2 linked regions of the Notamacropus eugenii genome follow. The protein of the gene in region 1 purifies or fractionates together with the protein of each later gene. This does not show direct contact. Links are inferred from orthologs where the notes say so. Each region holds a gene or a part of one and is shown on either strand. Other genes may lie near its edges.

Region 1 (7,508 bases):
GACAGGTCTTTTCTACAACTATCACTAAGTGAACCCTAATAAAAATTTCTCTTAAGCCATCAAAACAAAGTATTTTCAATTAAAGCTTCCTTTTAATTCAAAAGAATTCACAAGACAGAAGTTTTTTATACTTGAAGTGTTAGATTTTAACAAGCAATGCCACAATATATTTGTTTCCATAACTTGCCAGAGATAGTGAAATGTGTCTCTTTCAAAAGAGGTTCTCTATACATGTCCATGAAAGTTAAATACTTCGAAATCGCACTATGTATATGACTCCAGTACCAAATGTTGACAACTGAAAAGAAAATATCCACAGGAAGACATTTCCATAACTATTATCTATGACTTTAAAAAATGCTACTTACAGCACTGTATGTGTTTAACATCTGCGAAGACTGTAGGTAATGTAAAAATAACACACAAATATTCTAAGCTTTAAATACTTTCCTTTTTAATCACTCCATTCTTTTATGTGAGATGTTATTTTCTATACTAAGCATTATATTCAACAACAATTTTTAAGTTGATTACTTGGGCATACTAATAGTGATAATGATCTTAACAAAATAAGGTACATACTTATACATTTTTCACATACATAAAAAGAAACAAAAACTTTTAAATTAAAGACCTTGCTCCTATAAAAACACTGAGAAGCTGATTTGAAGTTTTTCTATGAAAAACAGCAGTCAAAATTCTTGGAACATACAAATTAAGATATATATGAGAAAACATTCATTTCTCTACTTCCCCTTGGGTTTGGCTTTATATATAAAAGACATATTAAAAATACAGAAGACTTGGAGGATAATCTTACAGCTGTCAAGTGGCTTGATTTTACAGAAACTATCTAAATATATCAAGCGCCTTTGACTCTTTAAAAGCATCCAGGTAAAATGACATTTAAAATATAGACTACTGAAAGAAATGAATTCAAAATAAGCAACTTGGAAAAGTTCTGAGAACCCCATGCAGCTAACTCATTTCCTACCATAATCTTAAAAAAAAAACAATAACATGGCTTCAGCAAAATTGGACATTTCTTGAAACATCTTTGCCCTCTAACTGAAGAACTGCTGCTGGCCACATTGGAAGTGCTTACATACGTACACACACAGAGAAACGAAGGCCAATCTCTTAGCAGCAAGTTAGGCAGGCCTCTTCCTCTCTCCGGGAAGCGCATGACAAACAGGGCGTCATGCGAATTGTGTCACCGGGTCACCGGCAAAAATTACACGTAACTCCCCAACTTCAGTCCGAGATGGCCTTCCAAGGCCCGCACAAGTATATTTAGGATCTAGCATACTAACAGGGGAAAGCTTAAAGTGACCTACTTTCTGATCCTGTAAACACTGAGCCCAGGGTTGGACCTAAGACAGGATTTAATGGAGGCCTCTTCTCAACCTTTTCCGAGCCTCTGTTGCAACAGTGAAGGAACTTTTCCTGGGTTTTCTAGGTTCAAAGTGAACGTGCAGCCCTGCAATTCTGTATCTTATGTACTAGGCCACGGAGAGCAAGAACAGCGGTAAGCAACACATTCCAATTTTGAAAAACAAAACAATATGTAACTAACCCCACAAACCCCGTGGCCAACCCTTCTCCGGGATTAAGAAGAGTTTTTACTAAGTAGACCAAGGTATATTTTCTTCTGCCAAATTACCAAGGGGAAACCCCTCCCCCTACGATGTTGGGGAGAGACCAAAAAAGAGAGAGAAAAAGCGAACATCAAAAGGCTGGCCTGAGACGGTGATAATGGGCCTGCCTACCCATTTCGGGATGTGCTACCACTTCCATCTCTTGGCTTGGATTCGACCCCCTCCCTGGATCGGCATGCCTCACCACAGCGGGGGCTCAAATTAAATAATCATAATATGGCGTTTCCTCCAGTTCAAACTCCCCCCACTAGCATCCCCCCCCCCGAAACTGCGAATGGGCTACTCCCCTTTCCCGTAGTGGGCCAAAGCCTATACTCCCTGGCTTCTGAAAGCAATCTGGCCCGGGGATGCAGGCCACCCAGAGATCCAGGGCACGCTTCATCCAGCCCCTCCACCCCCCACCGCCACCCCCGAGGCCCGGACTCCTCGGTCACCTTCCCTCCCTTTTCACCTCCACCATCCCCCATCCGCATTGTCTGTCTCAATTCAACTTTGACTAATATGGATTCCTCGGGCCTGGGCCCGGCAGTCATTACAGGCTACTCCTCCTAGGGAAAAGGGCTGCTTGGCTCGTTCCCCTCTCTCCTGTTCCACACGATTCCCAAGGAGGGGGCTGGAATAAGACCCTCGGTTCCCTCTCCTCTCCCCTCCCCCTCCCCCAGTCCTCTCCTCTTCTTCCCTGTAACAGAAGTTTACCCTGGATAAGGCCTATATCCGAGAGGCAGGAAGAGGAGGAGGAAGAGAGAGTGAGACACCTAGAATCTCCCCTCTTCACGTTCCCCCCCCAAAAAAAACACACCCCACCAGCCCACCCCCCAGCACCCTCGGGCCCCGTGGCGTCGCACTGCCCCACCTCCCACAAAGAGGAGATGGGAGGTCTAGGAGGATGGGAAGGGTAACTTGGGGGTTCCCCCTCCCCGTCCCCCTTACCTGTCATTGAGCTGGTCCTCGGTGCCCGGCAGCGGGTGAACGACGAAATGGATGGACGTCATGGTGCTTCCTCCTCGTCCTCCTCCCTAGGACACCCCACCTCCCTCGCGCTAACCCGTCCCCCCTCCCCCCAAAAACAACCCCTCTTCTCGTCCTCCTCCTCCCAGCCCCCCAAAGGAGGGAACCAAATGCGCAGGGGCCGTCTCCTCCTCCCCCTCCTCGGGCTTCTCTTCCTCCTCTTCCTCGTCCTCGTCCTCCGGCTCCCCCCCCACTCCGGGCCGTGTGTGCGGGGCCGGCCGGCCCGGCTGGCGGGCGGACGGGAGAGAAGGCAGACGAGCCACCCGCCAGCAGCTCCCCCCGCGCCGAGGGGGGGGAGGAGGAGGAGGAAGACTAGGAGGAGGGACGGGGAGGAGAGAGGCGGAGGGAGGAGGAGGGAAGAGGATGAAAAACCGGGGAGGGGGCGAGGTGGGGGTGCGGGAGGAGGAGGCGGGAGGACGAGGACGAGGACGAGATCGGGGCCGCGGCTGGGCTGGAGGGCGGGCGTCGGGAGCCGGGAGGGCTTGAGGAGGTAGCCCAGAGTCGTGCTGGGAGGGACTAGGCCACCGGGACGCTGGGGGCTGGAGGGGGGCGGCGGACGGGAGGGTCGGGCGTTGGGGGGAAGGTGGGGAGGGAAATGAGTCCGCACCGCGCTCACAGGCGAGACGCCGCTACCGCCACCAACACCGCCGCCGCCATCTTCACTTCTGCCCCAGTTTCTCCCTCTCGCAGGCTCCGCTTCCGAGGGGGGGTGAGGGGGGAGGAGAGAGGAGGCGGGGGGAGGGGGCAGAGAGGGAGGGGAGAGAGAAAGAGGACGGGGGCAATTCACGTTACGGCTCTGCTGATTGGTCGGCGCAGCTTTGGAAGGGCAGGAAGCTGTAAGAACCAGGGGGATTGGTCTGGGTATCTCTCCGCCCTCCCTAGCCCTCCCGTGTTCGGGACGGTAGGGAGCGAGCATTTTGGCCGGAGCACGTGTTGTAGGGAGGAGGGAGGAGAAGAGAAGAGCCCAGACTGGCCTGGGTAAGAGTACGAGAGGGAGTGCAAAAGGGTATCCCCGGGTGGTAAGCGCAGAGGAGGGGCCTGTTAAAGTGCTTTCTCCTTGATTTCCCTAGAGCAACCCTAATTATTTTAAGAACTGTGGGGCTTTTATCTCCTTTTCTTGATCTGCTGTTTTATTTAAAATGAATGTATGCAAACAGTTAAAGGAGGAAAAACTGTTATAATATTAAGCAAGATAGAGAAGGTTGGGGACCTAAAGATCATAGGAACTAGAATTAGAGAAATATATATACATATATTTATGTCCAATTTAATCTAATTTCACAAATGAGGAATCTGGGGCCCAGAGAGATGAAGTCAGCCATGACTGGAACTCAAGTTTCCTAGGTCCAAGCTTATTCCACTATACCCTTGCCCTTCTGCCTTTTTCATTTTACAGCCTAATCCCCTCCCCAAACGAAGACTTTATAAAGAATTTTATGCTGTGCCTACCCTTTGACCCAGCAGTACCACTACTAGGTCTATATCCCAAAGAGAGAAAAGAGAAAGGACCTATATGTACAAAAATATTTCAAGCAGCTTTTTCTGGTGACAAAGAATAAAGAATTGGACTGTTGAGGGGATGCCAATAAGTTGGGGAATGGCTGAACAAATTGTTTCATGATTGTAATGGAGTGCAATTGTGCTGTAAGACATCAGGAAGGGGGTGATTTCAGAGAAAGGTGACAAGATTTATGTGAACGGATGCAAAGTGAAGTGAGAACAGAGATTATTGTTCACAGTAACAATCGTAATGATGATCAACTATGAAAGACTTGACTTCTCTGATGAAGACAATGACCTAAGACAATTCTAAAGGATTCATAAAGAAAAAATGCTGTCCACCTCCAGAAAGAGAACTGATGAACTCCAGTGCAAATTGTAGTATATTTTCCTCACTTTATTTTTCTTGCAATTTTTTCAATATGGAAATGTTTTGCATGATTTCACATGTATAACTGATATCATATTGCTTGCCTTCTTAGTAGGTAGAGAAGGGGAGGGAGGGAGAGAATTTGGAACTCAAAATTTGGAAATAAAAGAATGATAAAAATAATAAATTTTTCAAATTTTTTTTAAAAAATAAAAAATGAGGTCAGTGTTCCTCCACTTACACTGGACATGGTTGGGGACCCTTGTCCTAGTTAATTCCTGGTTAAGGCTCTAGTGCTATCCAATCACTTTATTATTAAGAGCTCACTATATTAGGAATTTCATAAATGGTAGTTGATTGATTGATTTCCAGGTACTGGGCTAGGCACTGGGGGAGTAGAATACAAATTGAAACAATTCCTACTGTCAAAGAACTTACATTGGGGATGTTCCCTGCTCTATTATCTTCTACTGTAAGAGCTCTTCATCCTTCTGAGACTTCATCCAGTGGAGTATTGGCAAGGATTCCTTCCATGGATGGCAGGCATGGCTGAACCTCTGGTAATCCTTTTTCATACTAAAATAAATGTTCTAATTTTCAAAGGATTGATGAAGAGTTTTGAATTACACACTGAGCAGAAAAAAAAATTAATGGAGAAATGTTAGAATCATTGAAGTCTTTGCACAGCAAATAAAGAATGAATGATTCATAAAAAATTTATGAATTGGAAATTATTTAAACAGAACTAACAAATTTTCACACTGAAAATGATATTATAATGGGATAAAGAGGTAGGTCAAGTTAGGTCCCAAACCTCAAAAGTGGAAGTATTAGAAAACATGAATCCTGAGCTCTAATGAGATACTTTAAATGTGCATCTTAAACCATTAACTTAGGTTGCTTTATAAGACTTTATTGTATTTCTATTGAAAAAATTTTCAGCAAATCATGGATATCAAAAATTATTCAATAAGGTAGGATAGTCTAAATACCACATGGGACTAGTAGACCCTTTCATAGGTCACCACTTCTAACACTGACCCAGATGACTTAAGGTTCAAAAAGTATTTCAGACAGCTGTTCTGTAAAAGCCCATGTGAACTCAGTCTAGGATGCTGATCTATTTCCATAACACAGAAAGTGGTATGCAACTAGTTCTAAATTTTACCCCTTGTTGGCACTCTCAATAGAAAAACTAAAAATTTCCTAAGCCTTAAGGATTCAACTAGTGAGGCAGTTTGGCAGCCTCATATGTCCAGTCAGATCAACAAGCATTTATTACACCATATATTATTTTGTGCCAGGCACTGTGCTAAGTGCTAGGGATATAAATAAAGGCAGAAAAAAAGAAACAATAAAAAAAAAGTCACTGACCCTTTAGAAACTCATAATCTAATGGGGGAAAACAGTATACAGAGAACTTATGTTCAAACAAGCTATATACACAATAAATTTGAAGTAATTTCAGCAGGAAGATACTAACATTAAGGACTGGGAAAATCTTGCAGAAGGTGAGATTTTATTTAACACTTGAAGGAGGCCAAAAAGTGGAAGTGAAAAGAGAGAGCATTCTAGGCATAGGGCACAGTCAGTGAAAATACACAATCAAGAGATGGAGTGTCCCGTGTAAGGGGAAGCTAGAAGACCAGAATCATCAGACTTTAGAATCTATAGAGGGGAGTAAAGTATAAGAAGACTGAAAAGATAGGAAGAAACCAAGTTGTAAAGGGCTTTACAAACCAAAGAGAGCATTTCATATTCTATCAATAAGAAGCCACTGAAATTTACTGAATTGTGGTTAGACATAGGTTTTAAGATCACCTTGATAACTGAGTGAAGGAAGGACTGGGGTGAGAGAGACCAACCAGCAGGCTATTGAAATAGTCCAGTCATGAAAAATATAAAAAGAGGAAGGGAAAAGAGGTAGCTCTTAATGAATTGCCTCAGTTTCTTTAGTGAATTCTGAAGCAAGGTTCTAAACTGAGACGGTGAAGATAGGAGAGGTATAGGAAGGTTGAAAAAAGTCACTTTGGTGAGTAGGATCATGAATTTATTAAGGAGATGTAAAAAGATTTCCCTGCAGAAGCAGGAGACCAGTTGATATTATGTTATGATAGTATGTAACATGGACTTGTAATAGACGAAATTAGCATGGTTTTATGATTCTCTCCAACTTCATTCTACAGGTAATGAACAGAAACAGCAGTAGACTCTAGGAGTAATCAAAAGCTGGGCAGGGTGATACCATAACAGGGCAAGGGCTTTGAAAGAAGAGGACATTGTAGAGTCCACCTGGTTCGTGAAGGGGTCAAGAATGGGAAAGGAAGTTGGGTGAAGCCAGTACAGGGTCCACACTAGCCTCGGAGTCAAGAAGACCTGGATTTAAATCCTGCTTCTGACACATACATACTGGCTATGTGATCCCAGGCATGTCATGGTTACATGGTTAGTGGCCTTCATTAATAAGGAGAGTTTTCTCACTAGCAGTTTCTGACAGATGAAATTACAAGTCTGGATAAAAAAAAAGGAAATGGGTATAATATTGAGTTTGGGAAATAACTTACAAACCTGTTTGTCCTGAAATACAATGTATGAAGAAAAGAGTTGTTTGAATGAGACTGTAAAGCACCTTAGATTCTAGTATTTTATCTTCAAGGCAGTGGGAAGCCAGTGAAAGTTTCTGAACAGGGGAGCAAGACCTGTTTATTGGCACGATTACTTTAGCTCTATATTCAGGATGAAGCTCTATATGCAGAGAAAGGAGACTGGAGGCATAGGAAACAGAATCCTGTTCTGTCCAGAGGAGAGGTCCAGATCTAGGGTAGGATGCTAAATTACTGGAGAATGCATTCTCCTGGAATATAAGCATCTTGAGGAAAGGGAATTTTAAATTTTGGTGTCTCAGAACCTGATTCAATATTTTCGCACATAGTAGGTACTTAATAAGGTTTGTTGAATTGTAGTATCTCCTA
Region 2 (7,977 bases), on another chromosome or scaffold:
GCACATATTTAGTAGATAAATACTTCTTGACTGATCAAAAGGAACTTCCTTTACCTACACCCACCTAGGAAACAGACTGAGAGTAGGTGGTTCCTGCTTTCCACTGAAAGATCATCTAACTCAGAAAAGAAGGTTGGATAAATTACATGGGCTTTCCTGCAGACAAAATGGGCCTGAAAAGTCAAATTTGAAATGGAATTAAAAGATAGCTACTTTAAAAGCAGCCTTCCAAACTCCAGGATAGATTATTATGAGATCCAAGTTGAAATGACACACAAAAATTCTATTTTCTCCAAAAGTATCCTTTTCCCTCTCAGATTCATTAAATTTACTGGACTGCTAATGAGTGGCCTCTTGCAATTTCCTTTATTTCATGTTCATTTTTTTGAAATGAAATTTTTGAAAAATGGGCAAATATACCTGTATTCTTGAACTAGCTTTGAAAAATAGTTCTTATATACTAACTGTTTAGCTCAAATCTTTAGAGGCACATCTATCATTACAACAATGGCACAGCCTAGCATAATGGAAAGAATACTGTACTTAAAACTCAGAAAACCTAAAGTCAAGAGTAATGGAGCAAATGTAATTTATTTACTAACTGTGTGATCTTAAGCAGATCATTTCCCTTCTGTTAAAAATAAATATTGGAGTTTAATGCTTGTACTAGCTACCTCCCAGGGGTGTTATGAAGAAAGTTTTGTAAACCTTAAAATACCATAAAATTATGAGTATTACTGTAATCCCACAGACAGGGGTTAAATGCAAGTTATTAAAAGATACATCTTGGTAGTGATATGCCAACTAATATCCAGGAGGATCCAGGGTCTAATACTCCCCCTTCATCTCCAAGTCCCATGGTCCTCTTACTCCCAATAGAACTGGGGACTCCTGCCACAGGGTGCCCTAAGCTATGCTGCTGTGCTCACAGCCCTGTTCTTCACTTCTCCATTTTAATCTCTAGTTCCCCTTTGAATACAGTCTTCCCCATTAGAATGTAAGCTCCTGGAAGCCAGGCACTGTCTAATTTGCTTGTTTTTATCTTCCCAGCACTGTGCCAGACTTGGAGAAGTCAGTGCTTAATATGTGCATTTTCATTCATTCACATGGCCTGGAACATAAAAAGTCTTAATGAATATTTGTTGCAATCCTTTGAAAACTGCAGCACAAAGATGGGCTGGAATAATCCATAGAATCAAAGGACCAGAATCCTTGGCTACGGGAGACAAAGCCACTTGAGATAATTAATGGAAGTCAGTTAAAGAAAACAGGACTACTACAGCTTTTACACCCATTCTAAATCCTCTCGTTTCTTTCTCTCTTTAAATTTAAGTCTAAAAACCCTCTAATTTCTCATCTTTGGACTCACCACCATTTTCTGAACCTAGTAAGGGAGTTCTACCACGTTCTCATTAGGATTCCGAAACCATCTATCTATCCAGCCCCCTACCTTTCCAGTTTTCTTACCCCTTACCTCCCCCACCCCCACCCGCCAGTGCTCTGCAATACGGCGACAATGGCATCCTAGCCGGTCCTGGCACGAGATGCTCCATGTCGACTGGGCATGTTCCACAGCTGTCCTCCCCGCCTGGAAGCCTCTTCCCTCCTCATCTCAGCTCCTGGTTTCCCCAAAGCCCCAGCTAAAATTCCCCCTTCTGCACGCCGCTTTTCTGGATGCCTCTCACCGTCAGTACCTTCCCTCCACTGATTCTCTCCAGTTTATCTGGCGCGTACCTCGTCTGTCCCTGGCTGTTTTCAACGATTTCAACAAAGGTTTCTCCCTTATTAAATGGAGCTCCTGGGGAGCAGGACCTTTTTCGCCCTAGAGTTCCCAGTCTGGCACACTGCCTGGCTCAGGAAAGGCCCTTAACAAGTCCTGGACCACGGTCCTCCACCGGCAGGTCCCTCGCTGCTATGTTGACAAGCAGTCTGCCCCCCCCCCCCCCCCCCAAAAGGGGACGAAGCCCAGGTTCCACTGGCTTTGTGTAGACCGGCCTCTCCTCGCCGCCAGCCCACTACACCGATCCAACAATAGCTTTCTCCCGGCGGACTGGTCCGCAGACCACACTCCCCGCCAGCCCCCGGTCCGGGTCAAGGATGCAGGGAGTCAGGCCTGGCTGGGCGCAACCCAGGGAAGCGCCGCCTCCTCCCTAAAGCTCTGTCGGCCGCCACCGAGGTAACAGCCGCCCCCCGCGCCCCCTCGGAGGGCACTTTGCTTACACCTCTGTAGTGCTGGGCAGCACCGTCACCGTGACTGCGGGCGCTCCGAGCCTCACCTGTGGCTGCTGACTTCACCGGGCACTCTCTGGGGTAGGGCAGAGTGGGGGAGGGAGGGGCCCCGGGGTCCCATCAGGGCTGGGGCTGCCGGAGAGCACAGGGCTCAGGACACGGTACACAGTAGGAGCTTAACTATGTTGGCCGAGAGGGCAAAGCTTTTCTGGGGGGGGGGCATGCCGAGCCGGCGCTGGCTCCTCGTGGCACCGACCCTCGCCCCTTCCCAGGTAGGGGCGTGAGTGCGTGCCTCCGGTGAGGGCAGGCCGGCGGGGGTCGGGGGCGGACGGGGCCTCACCTGCAGGCGATGGCTCTTCACCAGGTGCATGTTGAGCGCGGGCCCGTTGGGCAGGATCTTACCGCAGCCGCGCACCGTGCACAGGATGTTGGTGCGCACGGCCCGGGACAGCTCCGACACCGACGGCCGGATCAGCTCGCCCGCAGGAGCCGGGCTCGGGGTCGCGGTGGGGGGCTGCCGCTTTCCTCCCGCCGTCCTAGCCCGGCTTCCTCGCAGCCCCGCTTCGAAACCCCATCGGCCCGAGGTCGCGTAGGTGGTGGCATCTCCTCTACTGGCCCGGATCGCGGCCGGCTCCGAAGCCGAAGCCAGTAGCGGGGCTGGGGTCAAACCCGCGGACGGTGCCGCTGCGTCCGCAGCCGCCATGTTTACCTTCGCGGCAAGCCAGCCCTGCTGGGGCCGCCTCGCTCCCCGGCTACTTCCGAGAAGGGCGGGAGCCCGCTGCCTCAGCCAACCAACGAGGGCTTCTGGAATACGTCACCGTCCAACGTTGCCGCCCCCACCACGGAGCCCCTTCGGGAAGGCGGGGCGGAGGGCGGGGCCTGCGCTCTCCAGGAGGCGGGACTCCGCTCCAGCTGTTCTCACGTTGGTCTATCTTCCTTCCAGTTCCAGGCACCCCCTAGAAAAGATCTCTTCTCCTTCCGAGGTCATCACCTTTTCCTAAATGAGGAACGATGTTACCTCTGTATCACTCGCTCCTAAGAGGCAGTGAAGTTCACTGGCTTTACATGTAACTCCAATTTATATAAATTATATTTTAATATGTATGTGGCATGCCACGGAGCACGGTCAGGAGGCCTGGGATAAATTCTAGCGCCAGCACTGGCCAGCTACATGTTATTGTGACCAAGCTCACTGCCCTAAGCCTTAATTTCTGATTCTGCAAAATGGGGAAACCAGAAGGGCAGAATGGGTTCATGTACGCAAGAACCAACCAGGAGCAAAGTGCCCATGTGGTGGTTGAAAAAATTGTGCTATAGGGATGGAATGTAATTACATTCTTATTCTGCAGTAAAAATGGATGTGAAAAACTTAGACCAGTGTTGTCTTTGGAGGACTGAGGGTCAAACATGTCTCTCATCTCTCAACAGAAAAGTGGTGGATTTTAAGTGCAGAATGAGAATACAGCCAATGTATTGATTTGTTTTGCTTAACTAAATTTATGCTTTACAAGGGAAGGTTGGGGTGGAGGAGGAAGCAGTGACATCAAAAAAGTGACAAAACACTTTTTAAAAATAAGAGAGGCAATAATACTTATTCAATCTCTCTTAGGATTGTGAAGAAAACACCTCAGAGTGCTACAGAAATCACACATCATGGATTTAGAAGGAACCTTAGTGGCCAGCTGGTCAAACACCTTAATTTTACGGATGAACTGAGGCTCAGAGAGGGTAAGCTCCTTGTGCCCAAGGTCACAGAAGTAGGAAGTGGCAGAGACAGGATTTGAATCCAAATCCAAGCATTTTTTCCACCATGCCATGCAAGCTACTACACCAGGGGTGGGGAACCTATGGCCTCGAGGCTACATGTGGCCTTCTTGTGTTCATCCTTCGTTGCCGAAGAACACTGTACCATCAGAGAAATGATGACATGGCTTGCACTTGCCTTTGTTTTGAGTGAGGGAGGTTTGTGCAGGTCACCAGCCTCACTTCTCCTCCAGAACCATCTGAATTCAGTGACCAGATATTCATCAGGATGACTGGAGATGACCCAAGGTGCACTGGAAGACCTTGGCCAAGGGCTATACAGGTACTCACTTAGGGTGAGGTAACACCCATTCATTGAATAGGCCTGTTTAAGAAGTAGGCCCTTTAATGAGGCAAAGAAAAAGAAAGACATCAGGCTGGGAGGGAAACAGCAACGGTTACTAGTGATAATCATTAAGCCAGGAGGGTCCAGAAGAGTCCTTAGGCAGGGGCCCAGTTGTGTCTGAGCTTCTGAGTGCAGTAGATTTAAGGTTTTGGGAAAGGAGAGGGAAGGGAAGGGGAAGAGGAAGTTTGTGGCCTTTTAGGTCCTCAAGTGCAGCTCTTTGACTGAGTCTAAGTTTTATAGAACAAATCACTTTTTAAGGGGATTTGTTCTGTGAAGTTTAGATTCAAAGGGCCACACCTGAGGACCTAGAGGGCCACATGTGGCCTCAAGGCCGCAGGTTCCCCACTCTTACACTATGCTATTAGTACTTTTTCCCTTTTATCCCATCCTGTGCACAACAACCTGACATTTTGGTTTAAAATACATTAAAATTAGTTTGCCTGAAGCATCAGCTTGTTACATGGGCCATGACACCATTAGGGCAATAACAAAAACATATTCCCCATTAGGGGAATATGGCTATGGCATTATGATTGTGCACTCATAACATGTACCGCTAAGATACATGATGATAAGCTCACCCTTTTTACTAATGCAACCAAAGACCCACTGGAGAAGATTTTGAATTAATGCTCTTCCCGCTCCAATCTTTATATTTTTATTTTTTTCAGCCAAAGAAAAGCAATTTTTTTTATAGTAGGATTTTGATTTTAATTTTTTTCTTAATGGATATATTTTTATTTTTTAAATTTTTAAAAAAAAATTAATTTGTCCTCAGTTTTCAACAATCACTTCCATAAGTTTTAAATTTTCTCCTCCTCCCTGCTTGTTCCCCGAGATGGCATGCAATTTTATATGGGTTCTACACATACATTCTTTTAAATACATTTTCACATTAGTCATGTTGCATGGAATTAAAATGAATGAGAGAAACCATGAGAAAAAAACAAAACAAAACTGCTGCATTCTGATTCCGTAGTTCTTTCTCTGGATATGGATGGCATTTTGCTTCAAGAATCTTTTGGGAATGTTTTAGGTCCTTGCATTGCTGTGGAGGGCTAAGTCTGTCAGAAACAGTCTTCACATACTGTGGCTGTTACCGTGTATAATGTTCTGGTTCTGCTCATTTCACTCAGCATCAGTTCATGTAAGTCTTTTCAAGTTTTTCTGAAGTCCTACTTTTCATCATTTCTTATAGCACAATAGTATTCCATTACATTCATATACCACAACTTGTTCAGCCATTCCCCAATTGATAGACATTCCCTGGATTTCCAGTTCCTCTCCAGTCTTTTTAAAGTCCCCATATCTGCATTGTCCACCTACAACTCTTTATATGACTTTAATTTGAAAGCAATACTTAGGGGTTTCTCCTTATAAAGGACATCTTTGCATCCAGAGACATAAAATGAATGCTTAAGATCTTTTAAAATATAATTTTACTCTTCTATAACTTGAAAATTTTTATTTAAATAGTCAAAACTGAGAAGCAGGATGGCACAATCGATAAAGGGCATGCCTTGGTGTCAGGAAGACTTAGAATCATGGGTTAAGAGCTGGAAGAAACCTCAATAGCCATCTTGGGTAAATAACTTATCCAAGGTCATACAAATAATAAGCATCAGAAGGTAGGATTTGGACTCAGGTCCTCTGACTCCAGAGCCAGTGCTTTTCCAGTTGAATCACTAAGTCCTACTTTTGACATATTTGCTACATGATCATGGTAAATTACTTAACCTTTGAGTGTTTCCAGGCAGCTAAGGCTATAAATTACAGATTAGATGTACATGTGTGGAGAGACCTCCTACATTGATAAAACCATGCTAAAACCCAAAACAATCTTAGCAGAGACTACTAAATTGTAGTGTAAGATACAGTCATCCTTACTTATAAACATGCCCAAATGTCCTCTCCCATTTCTAAAAATCCATCACTTCATCTACTATTACCTCAAATTATCATCCTTTCCTTCTCTCTGCTTTTACCCCCAAACTCCCAGAAAAAGCTGTCTATACTTGTTGTCACCATTTTCTTACTTCACAATCATTTTTCAACTTCTTGCAGTCTGGCTTCTAACCTTAGCACTCAGCTAAAATTGCTTTCTCCAAGGCTATCAAGTGTATTGATTGTCAAATCCTTGGCCTTTTTCTCAGTTCTTATCTTTGACTTCTCTGCAGTAACTGATACCATTGGCCACTATGTCATCCTAAACTTGGTCTTCTACTAGTTAGCCTGTCTGGCCACTCCTTCATGCATACACTAATGTTTATGCTTACAGGTATATTCTCCAGGACTCTGTCCCAGGTCTTGTCTCTTGCTACACCAACTTTCTTGGTTATCTCGTTAACTTCTATGAGTTCAACCATAATGTTTATGGATAAGACCCCTAGTACTATATATCCAGCCGCAATTTGTTACGAACTGCATTACCAACTGCTGTTCAGTATTTTTAACTGTCTCTCCATAGTCATATCTAAAAATAAGGGGGATTCATAAAAATTTCCCATACTAAGTACCACACAGGCTGAGCCATGTCTTTAAAAAAATTAGAGATTGTAAAAAGTGGAGATGAAGATGAGGTACATATCAGGTTTATGGGGACAGATGACTTGTGCAAAGATACTGGGGTAGAGGGATGGAATACTGGGAATAGCAGTAAGGTCAGTTTGAGTGGAATATAGTAAGAAGCTTAGAGACATAGGTTGGAGGCAGATTGTGAAGGCCTTTCAATGTCATGCTGCAAAGTCTGTATTTCATCCTAGTGGTAAGAGGGAAGCCACTGAAAGTTTCTGAGCTGGAGAATGCTAGGGTCAGACATTTATTTTCAAATTATTTTGATAGTAGTGTGAAGGATAGATTGGGTAGGATGATCAGAAGACAGTCCCAATAATTCAAACAAGAGGTGATGAGGGCCTAAAGCAGGTCTGCACAACCTATGGCCCTTGGGCTGCTTATGGCACACCAAAGGATTTCAGGCAGCCCATGAAAAATGTAGAGGAAATCCTTTGGCAAGCCACAAATGGCCTGCACATGGGCTGCAGGTTGTGTATGCCTGGCTTAAACTAAAGTGGAATTCATGTTAGCAGAAAGATGAGCAGAGATATAAGAGATGTTATGAAATTACAATTAACAAGATTTGGCAACTGATTGGATAGTGATGAAAGGGTAGGGAAGGGAAAGGAATAAGCATTTTTAGAGTACCTCCTCTTGGCCAGGCACTGTCCTAAGGGCTTTCAAAAAAATATTCTTTCATTTGATCCTCACAACAAGGTGAAGGAGGGGGAAGAGTTGCAGATGATGATAAGGTTTTGAACGTGGATAACTGGAAGCGTGGTGGTGCCATGAAGAGCAAGTTTGGAGGCAGGAGGGGAAGAAAATGAGTTTTGTTTTGGACAACTTTTGTATCGTTTATGCTTAAGGGAGATATCCAATAATGTGGAACTCAGTGGAAATTAAAGCTGGACCAATAAACAAGAGTTCATTTGCATCACAGCGACGATCAATAAACACATAAGAGCTAAAGAGACGATCAAGACGGAGGGTATATAAAAAGAAGAGAATCCAGGTCAGAGTGTTTGATCATGGATGATGATGTAATC

The links.
Region 2: the proteins of UBR5 (region 1) and ATMIN purify together in Homo sapiens (affinity purification with western blotting; 3 studies listed by BioGRID). This does not show direct contact. The link is inferred for Notamacropus eugenii from reciprocal best matches to the Homo sapiens genes UBR5 and ATMIN.

The regions. Positions count from the first base shown.
Region 1 is NC_092875.1:148,573,504-148,581,011, reverse strand, and holds the start of UBR5 (E3 ubiquitin-protein ligase UBR5), read right to left. Parts: upstream 3,004-7,508; 5' UTR 2,651-3,003; coding exon 2,589-2,650; intron 1-2,588. UniProt on the Homo sapiens protein: E3 ubiquitin-protein ligase involved in different protein quality control pathways in the cytoplasm and nucleus. Mainly acts as a ubiquitin chain elongator that extends pre-ubiquitinated substrates.
Region 2 is NC_092872.1:542,052,158-542,060,134, reverse strand, and holds the start of ATMIN (ATM interactor), read right to left. Parts: upstream 3,002-7,977; 5' UTR 2,933-3,001; coding exon 2,570-2,932; intron 1-2,569. UniProt on the Homo sapiens protein: Transcription factor. Plays a crucial role in cell survival and RAD51 foci formation in response to methylating DNA damage. Involved in regulating the activity of ATM in the absence of DNA damage. May play a role in stabilizing ATM.